5 linked regions of the Macaca mulatta genome follow. The protein of the gene in region 3 interacts with the protein of the main gene of each other region in a biochemical or structural test. Links are inferred from orthologs where the notes say so. Each region holds a gene or a part of one and is shown on either strand. Other genes may lie near its edges.

Evidence for each region. The genes of interacting proteins can lie anywhere in the genome.
Region 1: of the proteins of NEDD4L (region 3) and SGK1, one has a biochemical effect on the other in vitro, tested with the Homo sapiens proteins (5 studies listed by BioGRID). The link is inferred for Macaca mulatta from reciprocal best matches to the Homo sapiens genes NEDD4L and SGK1.
Region 2: the proteins of NEDD4L (region 3) and UBE2D1 form a complex in vitro, tested with the Homo sapiens proteins (7 studies listed by BioGRID). The link is inferred for Macaca mulatta from reciprocal best matches to the Homo sapiens genes NEDD4L and UBE2D1.
Region 4: of the proteins of NEDD4L (region 3) and NDFIP2, one has a biochemical effect on the other in vitro, tested with the Homo sapiens proteins (2 studies listed by BioGRID, with this or other methods). The link is inferred for Macaca mulatta from reciprocal best matches to the Homo sapiens genes NEDD4L and NDFIP2.
Region 5: the proteins of NEDD4L (region 3) and UBE2E3 form a complex in vitro, tested with the Homo sapiens proteins (3 studies listed by BioGRID). The link is inferred for Macaca mulatta from reciprocal best matches to the Homo sapiens genes NEDD4L and UBE2E3.

What each region holds. Positions count from the first base shown.
Region 1 is NC_133409.1:39,239,250-39,243,407, reverse strand, and holds the start of SGK1 (serine/threonine-protein kinase Sgk1), read left to right. Parts: upstream 1-1,358; 5' UTR 1,359-1,428; coding exon 1,429-1,957; intron 1,958-2,665; exon of another isoform or gene 2,666-2,719; coding exon of another isoform or gene 2,720-2,795; intron 2,796-2,940; coding exon 2,941-3,016; intron 3,017-3,452; coding exon 3,453-3,528; intron 3,529-3,980; coding exon 3,981-4,085; intron 4,086-4,158. UniProt on the Homo sapiens protein: Serine/threonine-protein kinase which is involved in the regulation of a wide variety of ion channels, membrane transporters, cellular enzymes, transcription factors, neuronal excitability, cell growth, proliferation, survival, migration and apoptosis.
Region 2 is NC_133414.1:91,527,783-91,531,826, reverse strand, and holds the start of UBE2D1 (ubiquitin-conjugating enzyme E2 D1), read left to right. Parts: upstream 1-1,244; 5' UTR 1,245-1,447; coding exon 1,448-1,471; intron 1,472-4,044.
Region 3 is NC_133423.1:22,653,015-22,656,514, reverse strand, and holds part of NEDD4L (E3 ubiquitin-protein ligase NEDD4-like), read left to right. Parts: intron 1-684; coding exon 685-816; intron 817-1,334; coding exon 1,335-1,454; intron 1,455-2,560; coding exon 2,561-2,758; intron 2,759-3,500. UniProt on the Homo sapiens protein: E3 ubiquitin-protein ligase that mediates the polyubiquitination of lysine and cysteine residues on target proteins and is thereby implicated in the regulation of various signaling pathways including autophagy, innate immunity or DNA repair.
Region 4 is NC_133422.1:74,318,458-74,322,637, forward strand, and holds the start of NDFIP2 (NEDD4 family-interacting protein 2), read left to right. Parts: upstream 1-1,380; 5' UTR 1,381-1,489; coding exon 1,490-1,810; intron 1,811-4,180. UniProt on the Homo sapiens protein: Activates HECT domain-containing E3 ubiquitin-protein ligases, including ITCH, NEDD4, NEDD4L, SMURF2, WWP1 and WWP2, and consequently modulates the stability of their targets. As a result, may control many cellular processes.
Region 5 is NC_133417.1:85,866,748-85,870,739, forward strand, and holds the start of UBE2E3 (ubiquitin-conjugating enzyme E2 E3), read left to right. Parts: upstream 1-1,470; intron 1,471-1,900; coding exon of another isoform or gene 1,901-1,943; intron 1,944-2,100; 5' UTR 2,101-2,125; coding exon 2,126-2,319; intron 2,320-3,992. Other genes in the region: uncharacterized protein LOC144333280, read right to left, coding at 149-1,380, 1,901-1,943. UniProt on the Homo sapiens protein: Accepts ubiquitin from the E1 complex and catalyzes its covalent attachment to other proteins. In vitro catalyzes 'Lys-11'- and 'Lys-48'-, as well as 'Lys-63'-linked polyubiquitination.

The DNA of each region.
Region 1 (4,158 bases), on a different chromosome or scaffold from region 3:
TGGACAGCCTGAGCACAATTTGCTCTCTCAACAGGAGAAGGAACCAGGTGGGAGCAGGGCTAGGCTGAGCTAGGCTAGTTGAATGGTGGGACATGACGTATGGGTGGCATTGGCAATAACAAAGTCATATTTTATGACGATTCCGTGCAAAAGGAAGCAGACATAGGCCAGTTACTGTGATTTGAAATTGCCTAAACATTGCTTTAGGTTGGCATGTCAATTTCAGGTACTAGTAAGTGCTTTTTTTAATTTTATTTTATTTTTATTTTTTGAGACGAGTCTCGCTCTGTTGCCAGGCTGGAGTGCAGTAGCATGATCTCGGCTCACAGCAACCTCCGCCTCCCGGGTTCAAGCGATTCTCCTGCCTCAGCATCCCGAGTAGCTAGGACTATAGGCGCACACCACCACGCCTGGCTAATTTTTTCTATTTTTAGTAGACACGGGGTTTCTCCATGTTAGCCAGGATGGTCTCGATTTCTTGGCCTCGTCATCCACCTGCCTCGGCCTCCCAAAGTGCTGGGATTACAGGTGTGAGCCACTGCGCCCGTCCCCAGTAAGTGCTTTTTTTTAAGTGTGGGCATTAAGAAAACGTTCCCAGCCAGACTCCAGGAAAGAGAATGTGTTTCTCTTCTCTCGGTTTGGGACTGTTGCAACAAAGCAAACCAAGAAGCAGTTGAGACTAGAGATCACTTTAGGGCAAGTGGGGGTGGTTTTGCCTGCAAAACAAACCCCTGCCCAAGACCAAGGAAAAGGCGTTTCACATGCTATTCCTGGTTTGACAGCTGGTATTTCGGGACTGTGCCAGATCTAGTAGGCAACTTTAAAATGGCAGAGCCCTTGGCAGCAAGAGGTCATGGCAGGGCAGCCACCGCAGACAGCAACAGCAAGCGCCAGGTACCTGGCCTTGCGAATAGTGGTAACTTGTAACTGCCTGCTCTGGGCCCAATCGCTGCGCTCGCGGCTTCCCAGCCAGCACTGGCTCACGTCCCCGCGCCGGCGGTCAGCCTGCGGCTCCCAGACATCCCCCAGTCGCGGGGTTACTGGAAGGCACCGGCATCGCTGCTCTGCAGAGCCCGGGCCGCCGCCTCCAGCTTCCCTCCCTTCCCTGCCCTGCCTTCTGCAGCAGGGTCACCCGGCTAATCTTTCAGGATAAAGTCACAGTTTCTGTGGGACTCGAGAGAAAGAGCGAGGTGGCAAAACGAAGACAAGCCCTGGGGCAGCCTTGAGTTAAATCCAGGGAGGAGTAGGGATGATTTTAAGATCATGTATCGTGACCTGCAGGGTTTTCAGGTGGGAGAGCTGGAGAGAAGCAGGCCCCATAGAGGAATCGAGGATGCCCGGGTCACGCCAGGTCGGTCTCCGGGCAAAGCTACCCCCTCCTTTCGCTTGTTACCTCCTCACGTGTTCTTGGCATGGCAGAGATTAAAAATGCAAGGAAAAAAATTACATGCGGAACGGACAAAATGTTCTCAGAGATTACTTCAGAAAAAAAAAAGTGAAATGCAGATTGTACTTTTTCCTTTAGAGCAGAGACGACTTTTATTTCCGCCCCCTCCCCTCCACATTCCTGACCTCTCCCTCCCCCCCTTCCCTCTTTCTTTCCTTCCTTCCTCCTCTTCCAAGTTCTGGGATTTTTCAGCCTTGCTTGGTTTTGGCCAAAAGCACAAAAAAGGCGTTTTCGGAAGCGACCCGACCGTGCACAAGGGCCATTTGTTTGTTTTGGGACTCGGGGCAGGAAATCTTGCCCGGCCTGAGTCACGGCGGCTCCTTCAAGGAAACGTCAGTGCTCGCCGGTCGCTCTCGCCTGCCGTGCGCCCCGCCGCCCGCTGCCCGCTGCCCATGAGGGAGATGCAGGGCGCGCTGGCCAGGGCCCGGCTCGAGTCCCTGCTGCGGCCCCGCCACAAAAAGAGGGCCGAGGCGCAGAAAAGGAGCGAGTCCTTCCTGCTGAGCGGACTGGGTAAGCGCGGTCGCCGGCCCCTCTGGGGACTTGGCTCACTTCCCCAGAGCGGCTCGGCTCCTGCCCCGCTCGCGGGCTCGTCCGCAGGGGCAGGCTTTCGTCGGAGTTCTGGGAGCCGGGGTCCCGGCGGCGGGAACGGGAGGACCTGGCAGGCAAGGTCGCGCGCTTCGCCCTGCGCCCCAGAGATAAACCCCAGAGGGTGGCGCGCACCGCCGGCTTGGGCTGGGGAGGGAGGTGGGGGTCCGGCCGCAGGACGGCGCCAGGCCGGGGAAAGGGAATCTGCAGGGAGGGAGTGAGCGAAGCCACCGTGGCCGCCGCGCACCCGCCGGGAAGCGCCTCGGCGCTGCGACCCCGGCTTTCTCGGGCGGCGGAATAAATGAGAGGTGGAAAACTACCCTGGGCTCTCCGGCCCTCCCCGCGCCCTCCGCTGGCGCGTTCCCTCTCTCTTCTGCCTCGGGGGCCGATGGAGGCTGATAACGGCCCCGCGCCAGGCCCTCCCCGGACGGTCCTCGCGCCCCTGCCCGGGGCTCGCCCTCTCAATGGGGACAGAACCGCCCGCCACAGGCAGCACCGCTGCCAGCAAACCGCGAGGCGGTCCGGGCGGAGGGAGGGGCGAGGCGAAGGGCGGGGCCGCTTCTCATTGTCGCTCAGGCCCCGCCCCCGCGGCGGGGCCTCGCCTATAAGGCCGAGCGCGCGGCCCGGCGCAGCACACACCGAGCCGGTCTCCGAGCGCTAACGTCTTCCTGTCTCCCCGCGGTGGTGATGACGGTGAAAACCGAGGCAGCTAAGGGCACCCTCACTTACTCCAGGATGAGGGGCATGGTGGCAATTCTCATCGGTGAGTGCAGGAATCTGGCGGGACTTATGCTCCAGGAGACTCAAAGTGGAAATTTTTTGAAAGTCCGGCATCAGATTAGTGTATGTGGCTCCGGACGTTATGAAGCCGTCTAAACGTTTCTTTATTTCTCCTCCTTAATCCACAGCTTTCATGAAGCAAAGGAGGATGGGCCTGAACGACTTTATTCAGAAGATTGCCAATAACTCCTATGCATGCAAACAGTAAGTTTGACGGGATTTGAGGAAATAAGAATAACTAGTCTGGTTTGAATTTGCCAGCAGTAAACATTCTCATCACGGCGTTTATCGGGAAGGCGAAGACTTCTTCTGGGGTGGGAATCTCTTTTCTCCTTAAATTTTAATATATTAGACACATTTTAAACATTAAAGTTAATTTGCTGTTTTGGCTTGAACTGGAGATGTAAGATAAATGGTTCGTGTTGGCCGAATTCACTCCCTTTCTCCATGAGCAACAATCCTTATTTCTGTATTTAACGGGGTTTATTATTTTCTTTAACTGAGTAATATATTGGGGTATTTTCAGTTTAAACACCGAATTATCCGGGTAGAAGACGGTAGAGCCAGAAACCGACTTTTGATGTTGGTATGCCCCCTAGTGGCGAGCTGGATTCTGAATCGTGCCCTTTATTCCCTGCAGCCCTGAAGTTCAGTCCATCTTGAAAATCTCCCAACCTCAGGAGCCTGAGCTTATGAATGCCAACCCTTCTCCTCCAGTAAGTATTTTCTATGTGCAGTGCCTCTGTGGAGAACTGTAAGGGAGTCAGTTAGTATTCCTGCCTTAATGGTTTAAAATAGCATTTCTAGAATTTAGTATCAAAGCAGGAATGCTTCATTACTTTATGGCATAACAAGTGATAACAAATATTTAAGTATTCAGTCAGTATTATTTTATTTTTTCGTGGGCGTATTTTACCTCCAAAGTGGATTATTTTAAAAGGCATATTTCATTAAAAAGTTTTATCTGTCCGAAACAACATGATTGTGTGCAGTTTCCATACTCATTTGAAATGACTTGTGATGAAATGTAGTTTTGAATGTTTATAGACAGATGTATGGTCATTTGCCTCAGTCATTTGTAGATGTAACATCTTCTACATCGTTTATATTATAACTGTCTTCCTTTGAAGCAATGATATTAAGAGAAATCCTTTTCTTTTTTTCCTAGCCAAGTCCTTCTCAGCAAATCAACCTTGGCCCATCGTCCAATCCTCATGCTAAACCATCTGACTTTCACTTCTTGAAAGTGATTGGGAAGGGCAGTTTTGGAAAGGTAATTTCGAATCTGAAGATCTTTTGGTACACTTTCTTCATGTCCTCATTTTACATTCTCCCTGGATAAGGAT
Region 2 (4,044 bases), on a different chromosome or scaffold from region 3:
AGTACTGATGAACATGTGAGAACATATATCTTTTTGGTGGAATAATTTGTTTTCAGTTGCATATATAACCAGTAATGGGATTGCTGGGTCAAATGGTAGTTTTGTTGTAAGTTCTTTGAGAAATCTCCAAACTGTTTTCCACGATGGCTGAACTAATTTACATTCCCACTAACAGCATATAAATGTTACCTTTTCTCCTCAGCGTCACCAACATCTGTTGATGTTTTCACTTTTTTTTTTTTTCCTTTTTGAGACAGAGTCTTACTCTGTCGCCCAGGCTGGAGAGCAGTGACTCCAACTCAGCTCACTGCAACCTCCGCCTCCCGGGATTAAGCGGTTCTCCTGCCTCAGTCTCCTGAGTAGCTGGGATTACAGGCGCCCACCACCATGCCCAGGTAATTTTTGTATTTTTAGTAGAGATGGGATTTCACCATGTTGGCCAGTCTGGTCTCGAACTCCCAACCTCAGGTAATCTGCCCGCCTCAGCCTCCCAAAGCCCTAGGATTACAGGCGTGAGCCACTGTGCCCGGCCAAGAAGCCAAGTTTTAATGGGTACACAAGTGCCCAGGAATTGGAGAGTGGGGAGTGTGCGTTGACTATTAGTCAGAGACTGTCAATGGAAGGGAAGGAGTCAACGATGGGAGTGAGAGCTCTGAACTCGGTGTTCGAAGCGGGTAATTTATGGGAGGGGCATACCTATGAGCAGACGATGCACTCAGACACGGAAGATCTGTGCATTGGACAGAAGAGACACCTTTTTCCTCTGCAGTAAGAACCAAGGAGGTAAGTAAGGGGTCTGATAGATATGAGTTTGTGCATGTGTGCTGGGTGAGTAATTGAGATAATTCATATATTTGAGAAAAGACAGTGAAATATTTAAAGGTAAATATAATAAAACCAGCTGTGGCACCTATTGGATAAGGAATTACTAACTGATGATTTAGAAATTCCTTTATGTGCGTTAGGAGCTCATTTGTTATCCCCATTTTACAGATGCGCAGCCCCAGGTTCAGTAACTTGCTCTAAATGAGACTGTAGAGACTAACTCCAGCACCCGGCAGCTCTCACCTTAAGCTGCCTGGCTAAGGTCAGCAGCAAGTAACCTGGCAGCGTCTGGGGGCCTGCGGCCGAGGACAGGGCTGGAACTACACTTCCCAGTATGCCAGGCGGGGCGGGGCGCGGCGGGGAGGGCGCAGGCTCCTTCCCAGAAGCAAAAGCGGAAACAAAAGAGTCTCGCCGGCCTCCCCGCCCGCACACTCGCGCACACTCGCGCTCGGGCGCAGACGGAGCAGGGACCGGCGCCCGGAGCGAGCCAGGGAGCGGCGAACCGGGGACCCACCGCGCGGAGCCAGCTGAGCTGCCAGCGAGCCCAACTCGCGAAGACTCACGCCCCCGAGCCCCGCAGCCGACCCCTGCCGGCCGGTGTCCCCACCGCGATCCCTGATCCATGGCGCTGAAGCGGATTCAGAAAGTGAGTGCCGGGGCCGGGCCTGGGGCTGCGGGGCAGCAGGGCAGCGGCGCCTGCCCACGCTGACTCGGCCAGTGGTCCCGAGAGATATGCAGGGAAAGCACGGGATGGAAGGGTGGGCCGGGGTGCGGGCAGGGAGCTGGAGGCTCGGGCCCGGCCAGCGGGCACCGGACAGGTTAGGTGGGAGCGGGGGCAGATCCCAGGCGGCCGGGGGAGCTTGAAGGCTGGGGGCCCGTGGCGCGCTCGCGCCGGGGCCGCTCCCGGAGCCCCAGGGTAGAGAGCCTCCTCCGCGTCCAGACCGCCCCGAAATCTGTGCTTCACGGTCACGGCTGGGTTTTGCCCTCCATGAGGCTAGTTTTGACCCCTGTCATGCTGTGTTTTCTCCAGGCTGTTTCTTAAGCCTGTCTCTTTTATGTTCTTGCTTACCCGGGCTCCCCGGGAGGGCACGGAAGGTGGGGTGGGCCTGCAGCCTTTCTCCGCGGAGCTGTCGGGTTGGTTCTTTCTCCTCTGCGGTTGGCTCTTGCTCAGTTGCCCGAATGGGCTGGAAAGCCCATTTGCGGCCAAGAAGCCAAGAGAAGGCTCCTGCCCCTTCTATTTTGGTGCCTCTGCTGCTGCCACTTCAGGTCACATAGCTGTAGCGAAAACATAGTTGCTGATACACAACAAGATGACCTCCTGGCTGTGATTCACGGTGAGTCAAGCCAAACAGGTTTTTTTTGCCCCTCATGGTAAACTTAGATGTAAAGTTCGAGACACAACATAAACTGTCGCAAATAGATTGTTTTGATGCTTTGACACATGGGTATAAAATGAGGAAGAAATATGTATCTTCATCCAACAACTGTTCACCCATCTCAACCCTGTGTGTGGAATTGTCTTTTTTTCACAGTATTTATTGCCACCATTTCAGAAGCGAACATCCTTCAGAATTGATATTCGGGCATTTCTTTCTGTTCATTTTTATTTCTTGTTGGTCTGTGTACTGACCCAAGTTTTAGGTTTTACAGTTACAGTTCACACTGGGAACATTGAGAATGTGTTTGTTAAATAGGGAGTGCTTTTCACTAAGTTAAGCAACAATGGTCAGTGTATTTTGTAGTTGTTTCAGAAGAAATTAATGCCCACATTTTTATCTACTTTTTTGACCAGTAGTCCATTATAGCAATAGTAAATGTTAGAGCAGTGATAGTGACGTACACATTGTATTCTGACTAGCCACTAGTGGCATCTTTAGGTACAGAGGACAGCAACTTTTAGAGCCTGCCAGTTTTTTATTTTCAAATTCTAAATCTGTTGATCACCTGTTATTTTTTGTCCCATTTAAAGGTCGTCTCATTGTAAAACATACAGTTAACAATCAGCATCAGCATTTATTAAGTTATAATGTTTTCTTGTTTGAAGATAGTTCAGTTACACGTTGTTTTATATAAATATCCTAATTTTGAAGCCTCAGTCGGCCTCTTTACCATAACTTGCATACTTATTAATGACGACGTAATATTGGTTCACATTTGGATCAGAAAATGCACATCTTCCAAGGAAGTTTTCAAATTCTATTTCCTTCTTTCCTAGTTGTGAGAATTTTTCACATGATTTTGCACATACAAGAGCTTTTTAAATTATCACTGTGTTTTTTTAAGAGATGGGGATCTCAGTATGTTGCCCATGCTGGTCTTGAACTCCTGTCCTCCAGAGAGTCTGGGATTACAGGCACAAGTCACCATACCCAACTATAACAATAGCGTTTAAATGCTGTGCAATTTGTCCACAGTAAGTGGATATTCAAAGAAATATGAACATTGTTTGTAAATACCATACTTGGCAGTTCTCGTCAATCACCATGCTGAACTGGTGTATTTGATTTGTATTTATAATGTGTGTGTCCAAATCTTTTCTTTTTAGTATTTATTGGTTATTAGTTTATAGAGTTGTTCAGAAAAAAAAAATTACTTACATGGAATTGATATCAAACATGTGACAAATCGATATTTTGGAGAAGAAATTGGGATCATATACCATCACATCTCTGTGCGTTCATCTTTGGCTTCCCTTTCTGATATCAGGCAAGTTAACTTACACAAGTCTTTCCATTAATCACACATTCAGACCGTTTCCTCAAACCTTAGGGGTGATTATTTTGATTGATTCCCTATTTTTCCTCCTCCTTTATCTACCTCCTTGATTAGAAGCCAATTCTAGGTCAGTTGTGCCGCCTGCCATATGAACAGTTATACCATCTTCTTCTTTGATGTCATCAGTATAGACATTCTTATTTGAATCTTTCATGTTCCAACAAATGAAGATGTATACTAACTTTTGGCCTTTCTTCCTAAGCTCCTATTGAAGTGTTACTATAGTTTTCCTGTACCTAAAGTTGCAGACTGTAGAGCTGTGTGGAACCTCAGATAAGTCTGCCGTAGTGTACTAGAGGGTACCAGCACGGGAACAGCTTCTAGGGTAGTGTCTTAGAATCACCTGAGGGACGTTTTCAGACTGTCGTCACTTCTATAAATGGAGAGGTGTTGAATCCCTCAGATGGGTTGGGGTGGAAAGAAGACTGAGAACCACTGATGTTC
Region 3 (3,500 bases):
GTTCGCCTTCAAAGAAACACACTTCTATCAGCGGACTTGGGTGCACACAGCCTCGGGTGTGAGGCTGGGTGCTGGGAGACTTCCTGAGCTGGGGCACACAGATGTCCTGGGTGGTACTCCAGATTATATGCTACTGTGTGACCGTCAGCATCCTAGAGAAGGGGCTGTGTGTTGGGATTTTAAAATTTTGCCCCAAAAGGTACAGTGTAAGGGTCCTAAGCTGATGGAGAAATTTAGGACTAAGCTAGAAGAGCACCCCATGGGAGCTACATCGAGGAGAAACTCAGAGCATCCCTCTCATACACAGTGACACTGGGCAGTTTGAAATACCTTTAAGCTCTACCCGGTTTGGCAGTGGAATTTAGTAGCCAGAACAGATGATAATGTTTTTCCCTTCCCCTATGATCACCTTAGCAGCAACCCTTTACATTTAAGACTACGGGGGTGTTAGAACCAAGTTCTGTAAGAATTTGGATCTGCAACTGTGTGGGGTTCATTCCACAGTAGATTTGAAGCTATTGGAAATCTATTGCTGTTTTCTAGACACTTGGAAGTATTTTCTATGTAAATAGAACTAATTAACTTTGTCTAGAGAAAATAATTATCTGGGTGTACATTATTTTATTAAACTGATCAGAAATCAAATGCAAGGTATTAAATAATAATGATTTCTTGCACAAACAGCCATCAGTGGCCTATGTACATACCACGCCGGGTCTGCCTTCAGGCTGGGAAGAAAGAAAAGATGCTAAGGGGCGCACATACTATGTCAATCATAACAATCGAACCACAACTTGGACTCGACCTATCATGCAGGTACGAAGATCGCCATCCAACTTAAAACCGCAGGCCATAGAAGCCGAAATGTACATGACCGACCTCCCTCCCTGGTGTTTATATATTGTTCTGAAAGAGTCATATTTGTAAAAAGCTGTCTCACAAAGAAAATGCATTACTTTAAATACAATAATAGCCTAAGGAAGAATTTGCTTTCCAAATCAGTTTATCACTGAATACATTTTTAAAATGTGAAGTGAAAGATATTTTCAAAGTAAGAGCCTATTACAGTGTGTAGCTTCTTCCCTGCCCCACCCCTCACCCCCTGCCTTTAATCTGAGGCTAGTTTTTATGCTGGGCTAGTGATTCATTTTTATTTCCCTTGAATGTGTTTCCCCATCCTTTCCCCCATCATTATGTTTAATTATTTCCTCCACGCTTTAAATAGGCCAGACCTCTTATTATTGCTGTTTGCGTTGTTGTTTGGGTTCGCGCTCCTAATCACACACACAGGGAGATCCTCCTATGAAGCTAACTTGTTTTTGCCTCCAAAATAGCTTGCAGAAGATGGTGCGTCTGGATCAGCCACAAACAGTAACAACCATCTAATCGAGCCTCAGATCCGCCGGCCTCGTAGCCTCAGCTCGCCAACAGTAACTTTATCTGCCCCGCTGGAGGTGAGACGGCTACCTCATCTAACTGGACTCACTCTGTCCTGTGACTCCCATTCTTTCTTCTCTCTTAACTCTGCCTTCAGTTTGGCAGCCACCTCCTCTCTCTGATCAGTCGTTGTGTTGGTGGTGAAGGGTGTTCTTGTGCAGCCTTTCTACCTGCTTCTCTGTCTCGCCCAGTTAACATTCCTGGACTCTCTCACCTGATTCTCATTCTCATTTGGCTAAGGCCGCAGTGACTTGTGCTGGACGTGGGCACTCTCTTTTCAGGACTTCCACCGTTCTTGTTGTGTTTCGCTTCTTTTTGCCTGTTACCTCATTAGAATTGCATAATCTGTCTTTCAAATACCAAGTGCTGATATTGAGTTTTTAAACATAGCTATTGCTTTGATCATTTTTTTTCTTTCGACTGTAGGGTCTTTCATTCTATGGGCATACATGTTTCTGATGCATATTTGCATATCTGCATCGTGGCTGGGCATCTGCTTGTGCTCCCTGTCGTGTTTGTATTGTTTTGGTGCCATCCTTTAACATCACAAATGTCAGAGTTAGAGAAGCCAAAGAGCAAAGGTTTGAGGTCCTAAGCTTGACTGTGTCTTAGAGACAACTGTAGGCTTCTCCATGCCCTGGTTCCAGATGCCAATAAGTGGGAATGGATGCTGTCTTTTCCACACACTGATATGAATGTCATGGGTAACAACTGTGAGATTCCAGATCATTGTCTTTATTGATGTAGGTTTTTCTCTTCTGTGCTCTAAAACTTGCCAATCTATTCTTCATTAGACTGTGAGCTCATTAAGAGCAAGGGCACGTTTTTCTCTACTCTGTAAAATCTCCATCCATAATGCTTAGTACAGAACAGTATTTTTGGTACATACTGAGTAGCTACCAAAGGATGGTGATTATAAGTACTTAATATTGTTGTGTGTTTATCCAACAGAGGAAATGTAAAGTTAGATTGATTTAAAAGTAAATGAATGACAGAAAACAGGTTTTGGGAATCTTCCCTCTTGTCCGCCTCCAAAGAGAAGCCTCCTACAATACCCAGGTACATTTTGGCACATTGGAATCGCAGCTGCTGAAGAGTTCTAATGCTAATTGTTATTCTTTAGGGTGCCAAGGACTCACCCGTACGTCGGGCTGTGAAAGACACCCTTTCTAACCCACAGTCCCCACAGCCATCACCTTACAACTCCCCCAAACCACAACACAAAGTCACACAGAGCTTCTTGCCACCCGGCTGGGAAATGAGGATAGCGCCAAACGGCCGGCCCTTCTTCATTGATCATAACACAAAGACCACAACCTGGGTAAGGCTGCTGCTTTTATTTGGCTCCGTTTTCATCGTGAAGTCTGGCATTAATTCCTTGATTTCCTTACTCAGTGTTTGTAGTTCTTGCAGAGGAATTAGATTGACTGTAAAGGGTGTTTCCAGAGGGTCTCCTCAGCCTGCATCTGGCCCCTGCACAAATGGGTGGGTGGGAGTGGGTGGGCATAGGCTGATAGCTGTCTTTGGTAGTGGTGCTGGGACTGCCTTTTCTCCTGGGAAACTCTAGTTTAGACAGTTCACCATGCTGGATGGAAAGGTACTGTTCTGTGCTGTTAAGATTTTGTTAATTGATCCCATCTTACAAAATAAGGAGTTATAATCATTTTCAAATAGGAGTTATAATCATTTTCAAATAATTTTTTCTTTTGTCAGTTTCTTTTTGCACTTTTATTGGCATTACCCACCTTCTTTTGATTTGTCACTTTAGTTTTTACTGTTCACATCAGATCAGTATTCACACGTCTGAGCTACATTTCCGTGCCCTTAATCATGGGATAGGGGATGTATGGAGTGACTTTGGTTGTAAATCTGATACTCCTTTTTGTGATCATTTTGTCAAAATTGATTTTTCTTACCATGCAACTGTTTCATGTACTCCTGAATTGTACCCAAGAAAGAATCTGTACATTGTATTATCTTGAGCAAAATGAGATTAATCAGAGGTGAATATGCATATCTTTGTATTTCTCTGTCAGTTCTTTATTTCTTGAGCTGAATCAGTG
Region 4 (4,180 bases), on a different chromosome or scaffold from region 3:
AAATAGGAAGAGTTGATGAATGCTTTAAAAAGAACCACGAGGAAGGCTTACCTTTTCAGTTGTCAATCTCGCAAAGAGTTTTTGGGTTTTTTTGTATCTTGCTATTTTAACCAGTTGATTAGGCTCACCCAGTGGCAGTCTTCATTTCAAGGATGTCCTCTGGACATTCATGAAGGAAATAAAGTAAATGGGGCTCCAGATCCCTTTCCTTCCCTTCAGGGGGCTCCACTGTAAGATCATTTTGGGAAAATGTGGTGTTATCTTAAAAACATAGCTGGGCCACATCAAGCAGCACCATAGTTTTGAGGGTATAGAACGTTGGTCTTCAGGTTAAAAGGCACTTTTCACTGCTCTGTCATACTCTTCTACTTGCTAGAGAAATATGTTTTATGCCGTGTCATGTGTGGTTAACCAGACACTGAGATGCTATTAACAATGCTCCCAAGTGATTCCTTGCTGTTAAATCCATTGGAATTATTATTACCACAAAATAATCCTATCTGATTTCATTACTTTCTTCTAACGTCCTTCCAGTAACCTAGAACTCTAGAGACCTCTTCCTTTGAGAGCTGTCTGGAGAGTCTGTTGGATTTTTAAATCTCTTATTACCAAAAAGTGGAAAAAAATTTAAAAAGTAACCAAAGAGCTGGTGCCTGTAGTCTCAGCTACTCCAGAGGCTGAGGCAGGTGGATAGCTTGGGCTGAGGAGTTCGAGGCTGCAGTGAGCCATGATTGTGCCTGAGAACAGCCACTGCACTCGTCTGGGCAATATAGTGAGACCCCGTCTCTAATCATCCCACAGAAGAATTTCAGGGCAGTGGATAACTCTGTAGGATACTACAATGATGAATACCTGCCATTACACATTTGTCGTAACTCGAGGAGTATACAACAACCTGAGCGAACCCCAAGGTAACTATAGACTTTCAGTGATGATGATGTGTCAATTCGGGTTCATCAATTGTAACACATGTACCACTCTAGTGGGGGATGTTGATAATGGCGGGGTTGGGGGTGGGGTTATGCATGCGTAGGAGCAAAGTGTATACGGGATATCTCTGTAACTTCTCAATTTTGCTGTAAACTACAACTACTCTATATTAGTCTTTTAAAAATCCCTTATCTTACGAATGATTTTTGAATAAGCGTTTTAGCAATGTTCTAGAGATGAATCTCCTCCCCACGTCCTACGCTGGGTGAGTAATACGAGGAAGTGTCGGGTACCCGGGAGACCTGTCCTCAGGTGTTCTAGGAACGCGGCCCCATGCCTTTGTCAGCCTCTGTCTCTGTGTGGTGAGAAGGCGCACTGGCTCGTGCCTGCGCGAGACTCGCGCACATAGAAAAGACCAATCAAGGACGGGTCATTCCCGCCCCCCGCGCGCCTTCTGCGACCGCCCACTCGACAGGTTGACAACCTAGACAGCTCCCCCGGACTTGCCTTACTTTTCCATCTCCTCCCACCTAGCTACACCCTCCCACTGGCGGCGCGGATGGGACGCCGGCGGAGCCAGCGAGTCTGCGCGAGCGGCCCGAGCATGCTCAATAGTGCGCGCGGCGCCCCGGTGCTCCTCCGCGGAACCGCGACCAACGCGGAGGTCTCGGCGGCCGCTGCGGGAGGCACAGGAAGTGAAGAGCTTCCGCCGGGAGACCGCGGCGGCAGGAACGGAGGCGGAAGGGGCCCTGCGGCGACGACGTCGTCGACGGGGGTGGCCGAGGGAGCTGAGCACGGAGAGAACTCCCCCGCTCGGAAGCCGGATCCCGAGCCGGGCAGGATGGATCACCACCAGCCGGGGACGGGGCGCTACCAGGTGGTGAGTTCCCGGCCTCCTGTGCTTCCCGGGACTGCCTCCCGCCGGGGCGTCCCGAGAGTCCCTTTCCTCAGGTTATTCCCAGAGGAAACGCTGTGGCTTTTGTTTTGTTTTCTTTTGGATCTTCTGACTGGAGCTGCTTCACTCGCCTCTCCTGCGCACTCCTGCCTAGGACTGCTTCGAAACCCTTCCCTGTCGCCCCAAGTCTCCTCCTAGCTCCTCACCCGTACCCTTAGCCCCCTTTGAGACACCTCCCTCCGCACACCTTACAACTTGTATCTGTTTTAATTTCTCACTTTATCATTTTCTTATTCTCTGACTCAGTCACTTCTGAGACATTCTAGTCGATTGTCTACTGGAAGTGGGGCTGACTTCACATACCTGCCCGGAAGGTGATCGCCGTCATAAATGGGGTGGGTGGGTGGGTAGGTGGGTGAAGGTGTAAGTACTGTGTAGAGTGGGATTTGGCAAAAATGTGGGTTAGGAATTGTGGAACCGAAGAGAAAGACTAGCCATAGTGCTGATCTTGTCTGCTCGTTAACCTTGTGACTTTTGTCCTTTTCCATTATGTTAGTATTAAAAATGACTGTATTTTTTGTAATCCCCAGTTTTTTGTTTTTGTTTTTTTTTTGTTTGGCTAGAGGGGAAACAGAGGTAGTTTTAGTAGAACAAATTCTAATCTTGTTCGAAAAATTATTTTTCGTTAAATACAAGGTTTTCCAGCTTAACTGTGTAAACTTTGGTAACTGTATGTTGAAAAAAGTGAAATATGTTCCTCTATATTTTCAGTGTCAATTTTTAAATATATTTTTCTTTGTGTATTCTGGTGGTGACGTTGAAGATTCCTGTTGTAAACCTTAGTTAAAAATGGACTGAGCAATAGTTGACTGTGCTGTTGTGCTGTTGCAGCTAGGTAGCATGTCATTCTACAAACTTTCAGCCCATTTACTGAGGGAGACGAGATAAATAATACATAGCAGTGGTGGTGCAATTTATGGTTTATAAAATTTTACAAATTTAGGTATGTTAGCCCCAGGTTTCAACTTTCAAATCTATCTGCACATGTAAGACTTAGTTATAAGCCAAGACTTTCTATTAATAAGTACATTTTGGCAATATGAAGGACACTGTAAGATGAGATCCCAATGTATGTAATTTTGCATTTTTCTAAGATAAAAGCTCATGAGGCTTCTATTTTCAACTGGTTTGCATTCTTTAAAACCTACAAAAGGTCCGTGTTCCGAATTCTTTGAAAATGTAGCAGCTTTTCTCAACAACTTGGGAAATACTGTTTCTCCTAGTATGGAAAGCATTTTTCAAGTGTACACCCTTTTGATGGTTTGAAGGGCATTTCTAGGTTTGTAAATGTTAGCAAAAATAAAATGATACAAATATTGAATAATATCAGCAGTGGAACTTGTTTCATTTTTCTAATCTTCCTGTTAGATTAGAAACATCAACCATGTTCTCCTACACACGTCACTACTTAAAACACTGTTAATTTATGTAGCTCTCAGTTTTAAGATATTTGTTTTCCCTACAGCTCCTTTCAAAATAAATGGACATATTTTATTGCTGCCCCCTCCCCTCATTTTTTTCAAACTGATGATGTGTCCCACATAGACTTTGAATGTTCCTTGAGAGCAGAGGGCAAAAATCAGTTCTTCTAAAGATAATGCCTACCAGTCCCTCTAAAGATAATACTTTAAGTAGGTAGGACATCGATTTGTTTTCCTTGTAAGGCAACAGTGTTAGGGTTACACAACTTACATAGTCATTTAACCTATCCAGTATAACTCTTGGTTTTGTTTATAATGGCCTGATTAATAACATCTAAGTGTATGTCAGAGAAAAAGCTGAATTGACATTTTCAGTAGACTTTTTAAACTAGGGATCAGTATTCAGCTCTGGCTTATATGATGAACATAACTATTTTGTGGTTGCCTTTAGCTCAGTTTTTGGGAAAACTGGAATGTGTAATAAACTGGAGCAATAAACAGCTTGAGTTGTCGAATGTTAAGGGATGACTAAGTCAGGAGATAGGCAAGTATACTTAGGGGTGAGATGGTATACAATGTTAATTTTTCACTTATTTAAAGAATTTAAATACAACTTTTCATACTGGAAAGCTAGCAGTGATGCTCAGGGTCATCAGAACGACCTACTACCATTAGCCAGTGCACAAGCTTTATCTAGAAACTGCTTTTTCTGTGATCTTTCCTTTCATTGTTAAAAGCACCCAAAATTTATTAAGTAAAGCAGTTAACAGTTTAGAGCTACAAAAATTCTTGATTGTTACCCTTCTAATTTCAGAAAAAGCCAGGTATGGTACATAATTTTCTGGGAAATTCAGTTTTGTTCGTTAGTAAATGA
Region 5 (3,992 bases), on a different chromosome or scaffold from region 3:
TTTCAAAGCATCCGAAGGACGGTCTCTTTTGGCAGCGACAGTTGCAAGCTGTGAGCCAAAAATAAATAGAGGTTGGTCCCCTAATCAACAAATATATTCTACTCTCTTCAATGCCCAGGACCCCACCTTGTCCCTTCCTCCAGCTTACACGAGGGGCAAGTGGCAGCTCTTCTCCGCCTGCGTGCCTGGCCTCGCCAACAACACCCATTAGTCTCCCGTCTCCCGGGGCGGCGGGGGACTCCCAACCACGCGCCCAGGGCCCTTTCCCAGGTACTGGGGCCCCGGGAGCCACGACGTCCCCCACGCAGGCGAACGGGATGGAACTAGCCCTGGGGACGCGGGTAGCCCAATGGGCAGCCTCCGCCCGGAGGCGGGCCCAGGCCGGAAGCCACCCCGCGGCACAGCGGCCCCACGATACGGTGCCCGCGCCCCCGCCTTCTCTGGCACAGGCTCCGCGGCCAAGGGCGGCAGGGGCCAGCCCGCCAGGTCCCCGCCGCGCTCTTTGTCCTGGCCGCGCGCGGGCGGACGCGTGCACCCCCCGGGTGAGGGGAGGTGCGGGGAGCGCGCGCGGGAGCGCGCGGGAACAGCTCGCGCCCGCCGGGCGCCGGCGGCGCGCGCCCCTCCGCCAGGCAAGCAGCGAGCACGCGCGCCGCCGCCGCGCCCGCCCCTCCCCCCGCGTTCGCCTCGGAACTTGCTGACTGCGCGGCCGGGAGGAGCCGAGCCGGGCGGCGGCGGCGGGAGGCCACAGCGCGCGGGGGTCTCCCGCGTCCCCTCCGCCTCGCCGGGAGCTCGCGCCCTCGCCCAGCCGAGCTCCCACCCCCCCTTTTTTCCGAAGGCGCTGGGCGGCGCCACCCTCCGGCCGGAGCCCGGCACTGCACAACCCCCTCCGACTTTCAATGTTCCACACTCCCCGGCCAGAGCCTCCTCGGCTTCTTTTTTTCCCTCCCCCCCCTTCCCCCCCCCACAGCTGCCTCCATTTCCTTAAGGAAGGGTTTTTTTCTCTCTCCCTCCCCCACACCGTAGCGGCGCGCGAGCGGGCCGGGCGGGCGGCCGAGGTAAGGCGGAGGGGCCGGGGGGCCGCGTGGGGGGCGGCCGGGGCGGCGGCGGCTGCGGTGGGGGAGGGGGCGGGGGCGGGCAGCTTTGTTCGCGCCGGGCGCCCGCGCCGCCGGTGTCCGCGAGCCGCGGCGGGGCCGGCCGGGCTGCTCGCATCACTTGGCGCCCGGCGCGGCGAGCGCTGCCCGCGGCCCCCGCGCGGCCCTCCCCACAAAGGGCCGCGGAGCTGCGTGGCCGCCGCCGCCGGCCGCGGCTCGCCTCCGCGGGCGCGGAAATTTGTTGCACTTCTTGGGGCTTTGTTTGTTTGTTTGTTTTTCCTCTGGGTTTCTTATTTTTTTCGTTATTTTGGACAAAATGTCGGTCCGTGATGTAAAAATTGAGCGAGGAACCTTGGTGGCATTGGGAGCTTTGCAGAAGGTGCAGTTTGAATTCTGCTTTTCCCAGGGTGGCAGCTAGGTCTTGGCCAGATGAATCTTCGCTGCTGGCGGTGGAAACAGCTAGAGGAGCTCGTTAGTTGATTTTTAAATTTCCAAGTGTTGTGTTTAAAGCCTTTACGTGCACTGAGAAGGAATCGCCACCTTAAATAAGCATATGGGCGATTAACAGGGTGTGTTTTCCTCTCGGAAAGGGAATTTGGTAGCTTTGACCAATGTCAGTGTGTAAATATTTAGACGTTATTAGTGACTTTTAAACATTTTTTCAGCGAGATCTGTTATTTACAGTATGTCATATGTTATTAATGCTTGTTGCCTAAGTTCCTTGGCAAATCTGTTTCATGCCTTCTGAGAAAGTAGACAATTGATAGATTGTCCAAGAGATGGAAAAAAATGTGAGTGGGTTTTCTAACTTGAGTTCGGCAAATCCCTGAACGCTGGCGTTGTGTGACACATCACCTCCCTTGTAACCCTTGTTGTATGATGAAATAAGTGTGAACACTTTTGAAGCTTTTTCATTACAATACGATATTAGATGAATAGAAGAAAATGCTGTTGGTTTATTTCCTAGATTTAACATTTTCTCCCCATCCTCCCCTGTTCTCTTTAAAAGTTTTCCAAGAGATAACTTCACCAAGATGTCCAGTGATAGGCAAAGGTCCGATGATGAGAGCCCCAGCACCAGCAGTGGCAGTTCAGATGCGGACCAGCGAGACCCAGCCGCTCCAGAGCCTGAAGAACAAGAGGAAAGAAAACCTTCTGCCGCCCAGCAGAAGAAAAACACCAAACTCTCTAGCAAAACCACTGCTAAGTTATCCACTAGTGCTAAAAGGTAATGTGTAAAAGAAGGATCCAGCACACTTTGTCAGGTTGTCTTCCAGGTGGTTGGACGCTTTTGTTGGTTTTACATCAGTAGCAATAGTTCAGAAATATTTACTTCATTATCAGTTTATTTGTACTTGAATGAGTTGTCATTCTTTAGGTGGTATGTATGCAACCTTGCTAGAATTATGCTTTTAAGCAAACTTATTCTGTACTTCGGTAACTTCAGTTGAGTATCCTTGAGTAGAGATTAGACTAACATTCTGACAGATTGTTTAAGGAGTTGGCAAGGAAAATTTGGTGAACCCAAATTAGATGGTACTTTGGGGATGTTTCCTTTTATGAGTCATAATCTTCTTTAATGAAATTGACACTTCCAGAGATTAGCAGGGCCTCTCTTCATGAAACTTAATGATCAGAAATGATCATATTTGCTAGAAAATTGCAAATTCAGGCCTTTGCTATGTTTGAAAGCAGATTTAAAATCGTGCTGCAAATCTGCTTACAGTTTTACAAAACATGACTTTAAATCATGTATCACAGGTAACTTTCGTGGTTAAATTATGATTATCCCTCCCTGTGCTTGTGAGGGCAAATCAAACTGAAAAGTAGCCCTTTACAATTTGAGGTGTCACTGGTGATAGAAAACTTTCATTGTCCTTGGACCTCTTCACTCTGAAACTTGTGGATGTGCTTGACAAGTTAATACTCAACAGCAGGAGAAACATATTTAATTGGATGTAAGTGGAAGATCATTTGTTTCCTATTGATTTATATTTTCTGATAGAGAAGAAAAGATTCTGTCAATGAGACTCTGTCAGTGGTAGTAGTAGTGGAACATCCACAAACTCTAGTAATTATACATAAAATGTATAATCTCTACAGCGTTAGCCAATGTTGACATTTTGTTAATTTTTATTGATCACAACTAAAGGAAAAAATATTTCTACAAATACTGCATTCTGTGGTGATTCATAAATACTCATATTTTTCTATGGATTTTCACCTTTATTGTCTCAGTAATGATGTATTAATAACTTGAGAATATTTTTGAATGGCAGCAGTCTTTGACATAATATAAAATCCTTCTCAATTTGGTATAGTGTTGATGCAGAACATATTAGACACGTCTAAAGTTTTGAAAGCATCTTAAATTTGAATCAAATCAGAGAACTGCTTTTCTCCCCCTTAACTCAGGCCTATGTATTTTCTCTTTCTGTCAATATTTACTAAATTTAAGTGCTGTGCCTATGATCAGGGAAAACAGAAATGGGTAAATTAGAATGTCATGTAGTCTTCGAAAGTTTTTCACCAGTAAAGATATTTGTAAATTTTAAACTTTTTTTTTGACAGATAAAATATTGTCAGAACTGTTAATGTGCTGTTGCAGTAGCCTGTTAATTTTTACCTCAGTAAAAGTCACTCGAAGTCCTTGTCAAATATTCCAGTGCTTTCCCTCCTCCCTTTTTGTCTCATTTGCATATAAGCTTGAAAAGAGAATTTCTTTGGTAAAAAGTGTTTTGAAATAGATATTATATTCTTTACTGAGTACTAGTGGATGAGTATTTTTCAAATCAAGTGTAAATGACTTACTTATTTGCAGCAGCAAGTGAGAAAAAAAGCTGCAAAGTTTCTGTTAAGGGATTTGGGTTATGCCTCTGAGAACAAAGAGGAAGCAGCCAT